Cricetulus griseus: one gene and its partner. Each later gene encodes a partner of the first gene's protein in a complex. Links are inferred from orthologs where the notes say so. Each region holds a gene or a part of one and is shown on either strand. Other genes may lie near its edges.

Region 1 (6,784 bases):
AGAAAGAGACCCAAGTAAGAATAGCAGTTGGATCTCCACACTCCCAAATGCTACCTAAGTTTCCTTTCTTGCCTACCACCTTGGCCAACCAAACTCTTCTCACCCTCCCCCAACATAACAATAAAGCCAGAGCCAGTGGGATGGCTCACTCAGTGGGCAGAAGCTCTTGCTGCACAAGCCTCACAATCCACGTTCCAGCCCAAGAACCCACAGTGGAAGGAGAGAACCAACTTCCAAAAGCTGTTCTCTGACTTCCACCCACTCATAATCACTAACTAAAAAAAAAGCATCACTAGGTTATCAGTCCTTACTTCGTTTCCAGAGAGATTTAGGGTCTTTAGGTTCGGCGCTTTCTGTACAATGCTGGACATATCATCCAGCTTGAATAGTCTGTTGTTGCTCAAGTTCAAAGACAATAGCTGTAAACAGAACAAAATTTAGAAGTGTTACTACATGTAGACCAGAGGCAAGTCTGGTTCCTCATCCCTCATCAGGCCCCAACCCGATATATCCCACTTTGCTTTCTCATGCAAAAAAAGAAGCTGCACCTCAGGAATATTCTCTTCAATGATCTGCAGGGTGGCAGCCATACAGCTTCTCCGGTTAAGAACAGCATCAATGTTCTGGGCCACCAAATCTTCAGCAAGCAAAAAGAAAAAGAAGTCTGAGAGTTATACGAACTGATTGGGCCCCCTCTCCCTCTAGCCGGGACACTACTGTCATACCTGGGTCTGAGCGGAGGCCCTTGAGGTCAAGTGCTTGTTGGGAGCCATCATATCGTTTGCTCATGATCAGCTAGATGAAAAGAGACAGACAAAGAAAGGGTTTAGTGATCACTGAGGGAGAGTGAAAGACAACTGGGCCACTTAAGCCAGCCTCACCTTGAGCTGCTCTACTTGTTCAGGCTTCAGTTCTTTCTGTACACTGCGGGGTGGAGCAGAGGAGTTGATGATGATAGATATCTGAAGAGAAGACACAAAGGCAAGAGTATACTTGAGGTAGGCCAATACTTACTTAGTCCTTTTCACTCAGTGCATCAGCGTCAACCTATGCCACACCAGGCCCTTTGTCTAACATACCCTTCTGTTTTCTCGATCGTGAATCTTATAGTTCACAGCCTTTAATGCAGAAGCTGTAGTGGCATCTTCCACAAAAAACTGGGCCCGTGTGTTTTCATAGTGAAACTGGAAGAAGGAAGAACAAGAACGTGAGATTTGGAGAGCACAGGCCTTTGGCCAGCCTCCCAAGCCTCCCTTTGCCATACCTCAATGGGGTTGAAGGGGACACTGCACTTGCTCTGAATCATGCTCAGGAGCCACGCTTTGTCATACTTTTTGCCATAAGGAATCTGGAAATAAGAGAGAAGGGAAGCACATTTTAGTATTTTCTGCCAAGACTGAAAAGGTTTCTAGAGCTTTGGGGTGGAGCTCAAAGATAAAAGACATGCGTAACATGCATGCATGAGGCTCAGTGATAGAAAGGATGAGGCATGCTTACATGCATGAGGCTGGTAGAGCCCTTCTACCACAAAATAACTTTTTTCTCCTAAAGAAAGGACCAGGTGTGCTGGGCATATTGGCGCACGCCTTTGATCCCAGCACTCAGGAGACAGAGGCAGGCGGATCTCTGTGAGTTTGAGGCCAACCTTGTCTACCAAGTGAGTTCCAGGACAGCCAGAACTGTTACACAGAGAAACCCTGTCTTGAAATTAAAAAAAAAAAAAAAAAAGAAAAGGAGGAGGAGGAAGAGAAAAAGAAAGGAGCAGATGTATGGTTTCCATGCAAGATAAAAAGACTTCCTTAAAATTCTTTCCATATACTTATTCATGGCAAGATGGCTCAGACAACATGGCCACACATCAAATATATTAATTCTAAATCCTAAGATATTATGTGTACCTTACCTGCCCCACAAACTCCACAGTCACCTAGAGCCACTCTTAGCTTAAGAGTTACTCTACCTCCTGACCCTTCTGCTGATCATACTCAATCAGATTTGCCTTCCACCTGTCATTGTGCCTGTCCTTAACTCCCTGTCTTAGTCTTTTTCTTAGATGTTTTAGATACTCATTCTAAGGAAATGGTGGATAAATGTGATACTTGGTTGTTGAGTAAACATTGGAGAAAATGGATTTGAGGGGCTCAGAGTGGGTGTCAAACACCTTCACTGAGTATGGTCCCATTTCCTGAAAGAACTATTCTCCCAAAGTACTCACTGTAATCTTGAACCAGTTTTTGGTGGTCCCATCTTGGCTGGTCCCAGCCCCTCCTCTCTCTGGAGGAGCTCTGTCTCTCCTTACGGTAATATGAATTCGATCTCGATCATGCCAAGTATCCCCCCGACGGTTAGGCCGGTTGGGATAGGGGTTGCTGTTGGGAAGCAGAATTAAATTTCCATAAACACAAGATGAACCTGTCCTGCTAATGAAACTGTAGCTACTAAATGGTTTGGTCAAGTATCACTTTACAAAGTGAGAAGAGAAACGACAAAGGCAGTAAAAGGACTATATAATTTAGTGAGTCACTATTTAAAGCAGACCAATTAGTCACTTACTATCTTACTCGGGGGCCATCTTGGGCATCATTCATTGCCACATCTCCATCATCTTCCTCAAACCGGGAGGACCGTATACTAGAACCACCTCTTCCCGACCGACGATTCCCCTCACCACACTTCCATCGGAAAGGCCCACGGCCTTTCTTTCTTCTCTGAGGGAAACTAACACGGTCATCATGCTCTGGAATTGGAAAAAGGCACAAAAAGTAGTAATACATGAGTGCTCTTGGTTACCTTGGTGTGGCCACTTTGTACTCTTTCGAAAGCCAGACACTAACTACAAAGGCTACCTCCATATATATATATATAGACAACTACATCCTAGCCAGAGGAAAAAACTTTCTGTAGGGCATCAACAACAAGTTAATGGAAAACTGTAGGTCTACTGAAAAATAAAAGGGTTGATAGGCAGTGGTGCACGCCTTTAATCTCAGTGCTTTGGAGGCAGAGGCAGGTGGATCGCTGTGAGTTCTTCAAGGCCAGCCTGGTCTACAGAGTGAGTTCTTCCATTCCCCATCAGAAAGGAGCAGGTCTCCCAGTAATGTCAGCCAAGCACAGCATAACAAGATGCAGTTAAGACTAGACACAAACCCTCAGATTAAGGCTTGACAAGGCAACCCAGGAGGAAAATGGTCCCAAGAGCAGGCAAGAGAGTCAGAGATACCCCAACTCCCACTGTTAGGAGTCCCACAAAAAACTCAAGCTAAACAGCCACAGCATGTATGTAGAGGACCTAGCACAGACCCATGCAGGCTTCGTGATTGAGCCCCTATGAGCGAGCCCTACTTAGTTGATTCTGTGGGCCATATTCTGGTCCTCTGGCTTCTGCAATCCTTTCTGCCCCCCTCCTTCCATGGGGTTAGCTCTGCCTAACCTTTGTGTGTGGGTCTCTACATCTGCTGCTACCAGCTGCTGGAGGAGTAGTTTCTGATGATTACCAGGCTAGGCACCTCATTCTTAAGAGTACTGGCAGTTCTTCTAGAGGACCACATTTGATTCCCAGCACCCACACTGCAGTGCCCAACTTTCTGCAACTTCATTCCAGAGGCTGTCATGGGCATCCCAGGCACTCTTGTGTTACACAGATGTATAAGCAAGCAGGCAAAACACTCATATACATATAAAAAAAAGTCAGTAAGGAAAAAGAATGTAGCTCAGTGGTAGAGTGCTTGTTTAACACACTCAAGGACCTGGGTTTGATGCCCAGCATAGACTCAAAGCAGACAATAATAGCAAAAAGAGCATTTTTCATTTGGGTATGGTAGCCCATGCGTATTATACTAATAACTGGGAGGTAGAGGCAGGAGAATCTGGAGTTCAAGATCATTTGCCACTACATACTAATTTAACATCAACCTGAGCTACATGAGATCCTGTCTTAAAACAAAATAAAGTTTAAAGGGTGTGGGGGATGGGAGTCTCTCTCCACAAGTTCATATAAATCTTAGAAATCTGTGGGTTAGAGGCTGGAGAGATGGCTCAATGATTAGGTCCCAGAATTGGTTCCTAGCACCCACATGGCAGCTCCCAACTGTGCTCTGCAATGTGAATGCTGGGAAATCAAAGCTGGTCCTCTGGAAGAGTAGTCAGTGCTCTTAACTCATCTCTTCAGCCCCCTACAGCTTTCTAATAACTTGTTTTTTGATGTTTATGACCTATAAAAAGTTCTTTCCCCTGGCCAGGGCACAGGTGTCTATGTGGAGGTAGCCTTTGTAGTTCTAGGGGACCCAATACCTTCTTCTGGGCTCTGCAAGGACCAGACAGAAAACTAAATCTTTAAAAGAAAAAGTAATGAAAGGTGAAAATATCACAACACATTGTGTATATGTATAAAATTGTCAAAAATCATTAAAGTGAAGGGCTAGAGAGATGGCTCAGAGGTTAAGAGTACCGACTGTTCTTTCAGAGATACTGAATTCAATTCCCAGCAACCATATGGTGGCTTACAACCATCTATAAAGGGATTTGATTCCCTCTTCTAGAATGCAGACAGAACACTATATACATAATAATTTTCTTTTTTTCCAAGACAGGGTTTCTCTGTATTGCTTTGGAGGTTGTCCTGGAACTTGCTCTGTAGACCAGGCTGGCCTCTTAACTCACAAAGATCCACCTGCCTCTGCTTCCCAAAGTGCTGGGACTAAAGGCATGTGCCAGCACTGCTGGGCCTAAATAAATGTTTAAGAAAAAAATTTTGAAAGAAAACAAGTGAACCAGAAACTAGTTCCTACATAAAAAGTAAAACATGGCACCCCTGAAAACCACTTGAAATTTTTGATCTTTTGCCTATACATACAAATGAGGGCCACAGAGCCAGATGTGGGAAACAACTGTAATCTCAGCAAATGGGAAGTGGAGGCCTCAATTACACAAGTTCAAAGCCATCCTGGACTACATGATCCTGTCTCAAAAAATGAAAAAAAAAACTTACAAATATGACCTATTTTAAAACCACATAATAGCCAGATGGTAGTGGCTCACACCTTTAATCCCATCACTCGGGAGGCAGAGGTAAGTGGATTTTCTGTGAGTTAGAAACCAGCCTGGTCTACATAAGCTAGTAACAACCACCACCTCCTTGCTCTCAAACTGTCCTTCTGAATTTGGGCAATGCTCATTTCTGTGAGCAGAAGTGACTGCACCTCAAGGGACTTCTAGATGCAGGATCAGCTGGCAGTTCCACATTAGGGTCCTGGAGTGTTTTCTAATACACATGTGTCCGAAGCAGATCTCTGAGAGTTCAAGGCCAGCCTGGTGTACAAAGTGAGTTCCAGACAGCCAGGGCTATTACACAGAGAAACCCTGTCTCAGGGGAAAGAAAAAAAAACAAAAAACAAACAAACAAAAAAAACAAAAAAAAGGAAAATGAGCTGGACATAGGCAGGCAGATCTCTGTGAGTTTTCAAGGCCAGCCTCATCTTGGTCTATACAGTGAGTTCCAGTCAGAGCTACATATTGAAAAAAAAAAAAGAAAGAAAAAGAAAAAAAAGTAAATAAATGAAACCAAGTGCAGTAAAATACTGTGTTTATGTTTTTTAAAATTTTTTCTTTTTTGGTTTTTCAAGACAGGGCTTCTCTGTGGCTTTGGAGGCTGTCCTGAAACTAGTTCTTGTAGACCAGGCAAGTCTCGAACTCACAGAGATCCCGAGTGCTGGGATTAAAGGCGTGAACCACCAACGCCTGGCCACAGTATACTGTTTTTAAGGCAAGAGGATCAGAGGGGCTCAAGGTCACCCTCCTCTTTGTAGAGTTCAAAGCCAGACGTTGTGTATAGGTTTATATGTATATACATGTAGGCACTAACACAAAAGGAGACTGAGGATCAGCTCAGCTGGTAAAGTGCTTACCTTTATCCTTCACACACACACACACAGACTGAGGTTGAGGCAGGAGAATTTGAAACTTCAAGTCAGACTGGGCAACTTAGTGAGACCATCTCAAAACAACAACAAAAAGGATGAGAATTTAGCTCCATGGGAGGGGATTGCCTGGTGTATGCAAGGCCTAGTGTTCATCTAGCACAAAATAATAAGTCTCGTGGTACGTGCCTACAATACCAAACTTGGGAGACTTGCACTGAAAGACTGACTATGAGGCCAGCCTGGGGTACTAAGACTGGCCCTATAAGGGAGAATTAGTCTTCAACGGGGATGAACTCCCTAAATGGTTATCCAAGGCCAAATGGTTAGCCTTAAAAATAAGTACATGCTAGCTACACTAAATGGACTCAGGTTGTATGAATTTGGGGAGTGGGTAGACATGAAAGTAACTGGAGGGAGATCCTGTTAAAACACGTACATACATACATACATACATACATACACACATACATACATACATACATGTTGTTTGTTTGTTTTTTGTTTTGTTTTATTTTTCCAGGCAAGGTTTCTCTGTGGCTTTGGAGGCTGTCCTGGAACTAGCTCTTGTAGACCAGGCTGGTCTGGAACTCACAGATCCGCCTGCCTCTGCCTCCCGAGTGCTGGGATTAAAAGTGTGCACCACTGCCACCCACCATATAATTATATTTTAGTTAAAATAAAGGTTCACTGGGCTGAGGATTTTTCAGACCCTGGATAAATCAGCACCACACAAACACAAAAAGGTTCATGACTTCCAAAGAAATCTACCTCATATCTATCGTCCTGTAAACAATGACCCTCACCAAGTGACTCTAGTGAAAACACAGTGCAATTAAGGTTCACTGAAAAATCTTCACTTCCAGCCA
Region 2 (7,481 bases), on another chromosome or scaffold:
CATGTCAAATCTTGTGCTCAGACTGAAAAGTAATTTTCAGATGGGTGCTTTGTGTTACAGCTTCTGACGTCCCCTCCCAACCTTGGTGCTTCTGGTAGGAGCAGCACTCAGCTGCTCTTCACATATATCACCAATAACTCCCATCCCAGGTGCTACGGGGCAAAGCCAACTATCAGGTGAATTAACTTTTTTTTTTTTTATATAAATCACACATTAGGATAAGGGTACTTTTGAAAAATAAAATGCCAATGCCCAGATCTTATTTATAGTGGAGGTGCCGGCTAGGGATATGGCCCAGGACAGGAAATTTCCAATGTTTTAAGAATTCTAGTGTGGATAGGACTACCTACCACCTACAGCTCTGGATCCACCAAGATCACAGTGGGGTAAGAGCTCATCCCAGACCCACCTCTATAGGTGCTTCCTACTATGCTTTCTGCCTTTCACACTCTTCTCAAAATTTAGACACATAAGGCAGAGAAGCCACATTTATATTATTTATTTGTCAACTTCCAGAAACAGGGTCTCTACTGATTAAGTAGAAAAATAGAAAGTTTACTACTTTTAAAAGGCAACTATGACAAAACCAGTATATAACCAGGAAAGGGGTTTCTAGGACTCAAACATCCAGTTTGCAGTGCTGCTGTGACAACCAAAATGAACTGTGTTCTCCACATCCTGAGATTTGTGACTGGCATTTCTCTGCAGAGCTGGGCCAAAGCCAAGAAGCCTTTCTCACCCCACTAGCTGGCCCAGTCCTGGAATCGGAAGCAGTCACTTGCTATCTTCCACACTGTGTTAGTGGGTGAAGCCTGGGCAGTCAAGATGAAGTTCTGGTTGAAGTCCCGCTGTTTGTTGCCCTCAAACTTCACTGATCCACAGATCACCACAAGAACTGTGGTCTGGCTTGGTGTAGCTTCATCATGGACAGGCTGGCAGTCTACCACATTGATCTGGAACTCACTGGAAGGCAACATCTCAAAAAATTCATTCAAGGATTCTTGTCCTGAAACAGCATTTCCATTCCATACTAAAGTGGCAGTGCCCATGTACAGGCGGGATAGCAGCCGCCGCCGTTTATCCATGGTAGTGTAGTAGACATTGACAAACTCCTCTGCAGCTCTGCAGGCCTGGTCCACATAGGTCTTGAAATCCACTGATGCCATCTCTGGTTCTGCCGACAGAGGCCTCTGTCAGATTGGCTCCTCTGTGGGGATCCAGGGACTGTATGACAACAAAGATGATGGGAACACATGTGAATATCAAAGTCTTTTTTGCTCTGATAAAACTTTTTTAAGTTTCAATTTTTAAAATTGTATTTGTATGTATGTGGGTTATGCACCACCAAGTGGGTCCTAGGAATCAAGCTCAGGTTGTTAGGCTTGACAGTAAGCACTTATACCTATTGACCCATCTAGCCCCCAATCCTCCTTTTCCATAGGCTACAGAACATTACATACTGCAGGCACATGACTTTAGGCTCAAACTGTTGCCTATTTATTTTAAAGGCAGTGTTTCACTATGTAGTCCTAGCTGGCCTGGAACTGAGAGATACATCTGCCTCTCTGTCAAGTGCTGGGATCAAAGACATTCACCACCAAGCAAGCCCAGCATTCGATGCTTGTTTAATCTTACTAATCCTCAGATTCTTCATTAAAAAACCCAAAAAACATGAAAATTAAAAGACAATGCACATCCAGCACTGAGTTAAGGTTTAAGCCAGGAAGGGTGAAAATGGTGGGGCACACTAGAAAAGTTGAGGCATGTGCATGTGCCAGCCTGGAACAGAGAGAGCAAGCCTGATCTCAAAACCAACACAGCAAACCTGGTCTCAAAAAAAAAAAAGTCTGATATGTTTGTTCATCTTACAATGGGATTTAAAATCCACTTTATTACTAGAGCACATTTGGTGACAGACTGTTCTTTCCTGAAAGCTTGGAATAGGCGTGGCTGCCTCTAGGCAACCAGGGTGTGGCTCATCCTAGTCAAGATAGTGGCTAAAACTGAAGAAATAAGTGGTTACTGGCCCAACAAAGGCTACCAGAGGTAGAGTAGGTGACTGACAATCTGGGAAGACTACAATGAACTAACCCAACAAGGATTCAGGAGATGTAGGGAATGGCAGATTTCTCAGGAGAGTGGAGGATAGTGGTCACAATCCCCAAAAGAAGCCAGCCCAAGAATGATCGGAATTTCCATCTTTGCACTAATGCCCATCATGTAAGACCAGAGGGCTATAATACCGAAGCAGAAAGACCCTAGGATTCAAACAGATTCTAAATTTTATTTTATGTGCATTGGTGCGAGGGTGTCAGATATCCTAGAACTGGAGTTACAGACAGCTGTGAGCTGCCATGTGGGTGCTGAGAATTGAACCTGGGTCCTCTGGAAGAACAATCAGTGCTCTTAACAGCTGAGCCATCTCTCCAGCTCCCAAAAAGAGTCCATGAATTCTTGTTGTTGTTTGTTTTCCAAGACAGGGTTTCTCTGTGTACCTTTGAAGCCTGTTCTGGAGCTTGATCTGTAAACCAGGCTTGAACTCACAGAGATCCACCTGCCTCTCCCTCCTGAGTGCTGGGATAAAAGGTGTGTGCCTCCACTGCATAGCTCAAAGATTCTAATGGGGAGGGGATGGGCACAGTTTTATTTATATCTGAAAGATCACAGCTCCCTAAAAAATTTAAGTTCTAACACATAAACAGCATATTTTTTTCCTAACAGGTTTGACTGTTAATTTCTTCTATGATTAAAAATTTTCATTTAAAAGAAACCAGTATAATTTTACTTAAAATAGTAGACACAAGTAATTTATATTATTTGTCAATTTCCAGAAACAGGGTCTCTAGTGAGTAAGCTTAGAACTTCTTTTTTTATTTCAAGTACCCTTATTTTATTGACACTGGGTCTCTCTATGTATTTCTGGAGCTTGCTATGTAGACCAGGCTGGCCTTGAACTCAGAGATCCACCTGCCTCTGCTGGGACGAAAGGTGTGCCCGACCCAACTTTTCTCTATTTTTTTTTTTAAACTATCAGCTTACGAACGATGATTCCACACAGGGCTGGGAGGAAGCTGGTCCTAACGATGTGCAGTTCAGAGCCAGTTTAAGATTGCTCTTTGCCGGCTGGAGAGATGGCTCAGAAGTTAAGACTGCTCTTCCAGAGGTCCTGAGTTCAATTTCCAGCAACCACATGATGGCTCACAACCATCTACAATGAGATCCGGTGCCCTCTTCCAGCCTGCAGGCATACATGCAGGCAGAACATTGTATACATAATAAATAAAAAAATCTTAAAAAAAAGTTTGCTCTTTGCATTCTCTCCAAGAACCTCAGACTGAAGACTCAACAATCAGTCTGAAGTGTTGTGTGTTTAAGTAGTTTAGGATCATGCCCTCAATCGCTGCACACATGGGTATCCCTGTGACAACTTTACTAAGAAGGAAGAGGAACTTGCACACTCTTGGTCGACTCAAGGCCGATCTAGGAAAATCGAGGGGGTCAAGGCCATGTTGCCCTCTTTGGACTTTTGAGAGTAGGTCTATATGAAGACAGCTCCAGGGATGCCGGCCTGGGAATGTCCTCCCAAGTAGCCACATTTCTCTCTGCCCAACCAGCTCATCAAACGCAGCTTCCTTTAGACCACGATGCTCCCGGTTGACTTTTTCTCTTCTGCTTCCTCCAAACACAATCCAACAATGGTCACGCCCTCAAAGGATGATCGATCACCCCTACTTCTGGTCCTCAGCTACCCACAGAACCTGCTCAGCTCTCTCACACCAGGGGAAAACAGTAAGACCGAAACACAGTAGAGCGAGAAGCCAGGAGGATGCCCCAGTCCGCGGTCCATACTCTAGCTTCCTGGAGCTGGACCCCAGGAGCCGCAGCCGTGTCTCGGGCCTCACTGAGGTTCAGCCGGGCGTCGCTTATCAAAGCCGCTGGCAGATGGCAGCACGCTCTTTAGAGCCATCATCCGGCCCCAAACTGCTGCTCTCCTCCGGGCAGGGCAAACTCACCGCCACCGTTGTACACAGCAAAAAGCCTGATGCCCAGCTGCAAAGACACCACGTGGGGGAAAGACACCACCCGGGTCTTACTGAGCCTGAGGGGAGGCAAGGGGTCCCTCCGGCCACCGCGCAGCCAGACAGGGGCGGCCACCTACCTGCTCCGCCCCGGTCAGCGCCTCCAAGGCGACTCGGTCCCGGGTCCCGCCCCGGCCGCAGTCCCGGGCCAGAAGATTTACGCTCCTGCCCTCCTCTTCCTCCCAGAGGCTCCGCCTGAGGCGCCGGCGTCCTGGAGACGGGGAACGGTTGGTCGCGGGTAGCAGCTATCCCGCGCGCGGCGTGCTGCGTTCTACGCAGGCGCGAAGGTCTCGCGTCCAAACGGCTCCCGCCTTCGCGTGACGGGCAGCTACGCGAGCCAGTAGAAAGGCTGGCTCCGCCCAGGTGCGGCTGCAAAAACTGTGTGGCTTCCGGGGCCGTCACTAAGGGAGAAGTTCCGGCTGAGGGAGCTTCGATTGGAGAGCGTGAGAGGGGGGCGGGGCTACGCTGTTAGCAGCGGAAGACTTGGCTGCCGAGAGCAGTGCGGCTTGGGCGCGTCTGCCTCCCTTCGTCAGTCTGTGTTGGTTCTTTGTGAAGACTCACGGCTTGACGCCATCTAGGGAGACAGCAGCATGGCTGCAGTAAAGCTCTGGACCGAACCTAGTGTATAGGACGCCCGCAGTATTGGAGCCCGAGTGGAAAGCTAAGTGAGGGAGTCCTGTGGAAGTCCATGGGCTCAGTCATCTTATCTGACGCACCCTTTCTTAGATAAAGCCACTTAGAGTTGAGTTCCCCGCTAGCTCTAGCTGTGGCGAACCGTTCCTCCGCCTGTAAGTTTGATATGGTTAATCTGGAGCAGTCTTGTTTGTTTGTTTGTTTGTTTGCTTGTTTTTAAGACAGGGTTTCTTTGTGGCTTTGTAACTAGCTCTTGTAGACCAGGCTGGTCTCGAACTCACAGAGATCCGCCTGCCTCTGCCTCCCGAGTGCTGGGATTAAAGGCATGTACCAAAACCGCCCGGCCGGGGCAGTCTTGACACTTAGCGTTAGAATGGAACCATTTAGTGTAGGAACTTTAGAAACTGCCGAGGGTAACACAAAACCCGAAAAGCTCATTTTCCCGAGGCACACGGTTCTCTGCTTCATCTATCCGGCTGGGAGAACCCCCTGGAAGTGACTAGGTTAAATGAAGTACTGTATTTTGTTGGCAATCTCTTGGGTCCTTTTGTTCATGTTCCTAAGGTAACCTTTGCTTATAGACTTAAGAAACCAGATAGGCTACTTAATATAGGCCACTCCCCCACTGCAGTCAAGTAGGAGAAAAGTTTTCATTATTGAAAGAAGTTGGATTGCTGAGTGTCTTCGGAGTAATAGTTACACCAAAATGGCTTTATAAACCTGGAGGTAGGTAGTGATAGGCCCTAGGACTTTTCTTGAAAAAGAACTTGATTTTTATTCTATCTGTAGCCCTTGAGTTTGGGGAGATTAGAGATATCTCTGACTGCAGGGAACATATCAATGACACAGTTGAGGGTATGTATTAGCCAAGTTTCTCTAGAGTAACAGAACTTACAGATTGAATGAGTCTCTCTCTGTCTCTGTCTCTGTCTCTCTGTCTCTCTCTCTCTCTCTCTCTGTGTGTGTCTGTCTGTCTGTCTCTGTCTCTCTCTCATACACTGTGGTTCAGCTAGTCCAACAATTGCTGCTAATGAATGTAAGGCCCTAGAATACAGCAGTTGTTCAGTCAGTAAGGCTGGATGTCTCAGCTGCTTTTCAGTATATGCTGGAAGTAGGCTCTAATGCCAGTGAAGGAATGAACTTGCTAGCAAGGGTGAGAGCAAGCAGGCAAAGAGAAAGAGCTTCCTTGCTCCATGTCCATTATATAGGCTTCCAGTAGAAGGTGTGGTCTAGATTAAAGGTGGACCTTCTCACCTCAAAAGATATGGATTGAAGGTTTATCTTCCCACCTCAGAAATCAATATTAAAATTGGGTCTTCCCCCTTCAAATGATTATTTGAAAGAAAAAATCCCTCTCAGGTTTACCCAGCCATTTGGGTTTTAATTAAATCCAGATGTAGTCAAAATGACAACCAAGAATAGGCATCATAAGATATTTTGGAGTCCCAGTTACTCTCATTGGACTGGAGAAGGAGTTTGATAGGGCATTCTGGGAAAGGAGCATTTTTTCCTCTTTCCGTTTTGAATATGGGTATGGACAGCAGTTCTTCAGTCTTCCTCCTCCTCTGAGGAGAAATTGACTCATCAGTGATGAGACAGACAGGAAGGGTGAGAAGAAATCAGGCCTTTGGTGAGTGAGTGTTAGGACTGTCCTCTTCAGTGTGTGTGTGTGTGTGTGTGTGTGTGTGTGTGTGTGAGAGAGAGAGAGAGAGAGAGAGAGACAGAGACAGAGACAGAGACAGAGACAGAGACAGAGAATGTGATGTGCTGCCTAAATGCTTTGCCACTGTCCCACACTCAGCCCCAGTCTTCAGTTTTGGACTTCACAGTATCAAGAGTCAGTGTTTAAAGCTGGGCATCATTTTAATTACTTTCAGCTCAGCATTGTGTCCTTGAGTATAGGCAGTGTCATTGTGGCATGTGAGTTTGCCTGTCTAGGAAGCAGCTGCCTGATCTGTAAATCAGGGACACTAATGATATACTTGGAATGGCTTCACATGGGTCTGAATCCAAATTAGCATCCAGAAACATTAATGGGACCGAATTATGTTTTATATTTTATGTCCACAGCAACTTCTTCATTTGTCAACAATCCTTCTAATGAAATGATTGGCTTTTACATTTGGGACAAGCATATGACAAATTGGTGGGATTTGTTACCTGATCACATGGACACTTTTGATAAATGAGGCTGGCCTAAGCAGCTGTAGAACCAGTGTTCCTGTTTGCCATGTGGAGCCTGTCCAGGAAGAAGGACACATCTGGTCCATACACAGAGTTGGGCCTGACTTAAGAATCGTAAAATCTGTCAACACGGGCTTGCTCTCCTCCCCCACTGTCAGTGCTCTTCCCTTGGATAGAATTTCAACAGCATGTTTTCAAAAGCAGCTGTGTGATTTGCAGTGAATTCACAGTTGTGTCTTAGCAGCTGTGTCTCGAATACCCTGTCACCTGAACCACATCCAATCTTTTGACTTTGGTGGGCCCATCTAAGTTCTGGTGGACCAGGGTGAGCTAGCACTGTGTTTTTGTGAGCTCATTTAGGGACTTGACTGTGCAGAGACTATGGGGAGGGGGGACCTGGAAGAAGCACACTCAATAGAACCAGGTAGTATTTTGTAAAACACATGCTCTGTCTTCTCTGTTAGCAAGGAATGGAATGTAGACACCTAGGAATGTGGCTTCCTTAAACTTTACATGGAAGTGCTCCCTGTGATGTCACTGTTTGCCTAAGAAGATTGTATTGATTGCTGTTGACTAAGTCTGAGG

What was found. The genes of interacting proteins can lie anywhere in the genome.
Region 2: the proteins of Nxf1 (region 1) and Nxt1 are in contact, whole or in part, in a crystal structure (PDB 4WYK), measured with the Homo sapiens proteins. The link is inferred for Cricetulus griseus from reciprocal best matches to the Homo sapiens genes NXF1 and NXT1. Residues at the interface, in NP_006353.2 of Homo sapiens: Ala366, Pro367, Thr368, Thr369, Leu370, Pro371, Pro372, Cys373, Lys374, Gly375, Tyr377, His411, Gly413, Cys415, Cys416, Ser417, Leu418, Ser419, Ile420, Pro421, Phe422, Arg440, Asn441, Val442, Lys443, Lys444, Lys446, Pro448, Thr449, Arg451; in NP_037380.1 of Homo sapiens: Phe6, Lys7, Val10, Asp11, Cys14, Glu18, Thr44, Val46, Trp47, Asn48, Gly49, Asn50, Ala51, Phe61, Met64, Leu65, Pro66, Ile72, Ser73, Val74, Val75, Asp76, Cys77, Gln78, Pro79, Val80, His81, Glu83, Ala84, Thr85.

Annotation. Positions count from the first base shown.
Region 1 is NC_048596.1:51,331,481-51,338,264, forward strand, and holds part of Nxf1 (nuclear RNA export factor 1), read right to left. Parts: intron 2,738-6,784; coding exon 2,554-2,737; intron 2,370-2,553; coding exon 2,216-2,369; intron 1,349-2,215; coding exon 1,265-1,348; intron 1,185-1,264; coding exon 1,080-1,184; intron 963-1,079; coding exon 882-962; intron 796-881; coding exon 726-795; intron 638-725; coding exon 549-637; intron 420-548; coding exon 312-419; intron 1-311.
Region 2 is NC_048599.1:30,364,874-30,372,354, forward strand, and holds Nxt1 (NTF2-related export protein 1), read right to left. Parts: upstream 4,355-7,481; 5' UTR 4,160-4,354; intron 4,143-4,159; exon of another isoform or gene 4,014-4,142; intron 3,979-4,013; exon of another isoform or gene 3,850-3,978; intron 3,824-3,849; exon of another isoform or gene 3,040-3,823; intron 1,225-3,039; 5' UTR 1,167-1,224; coding exon 744-1,166; 3' UTR 483-743; downstream 1-482.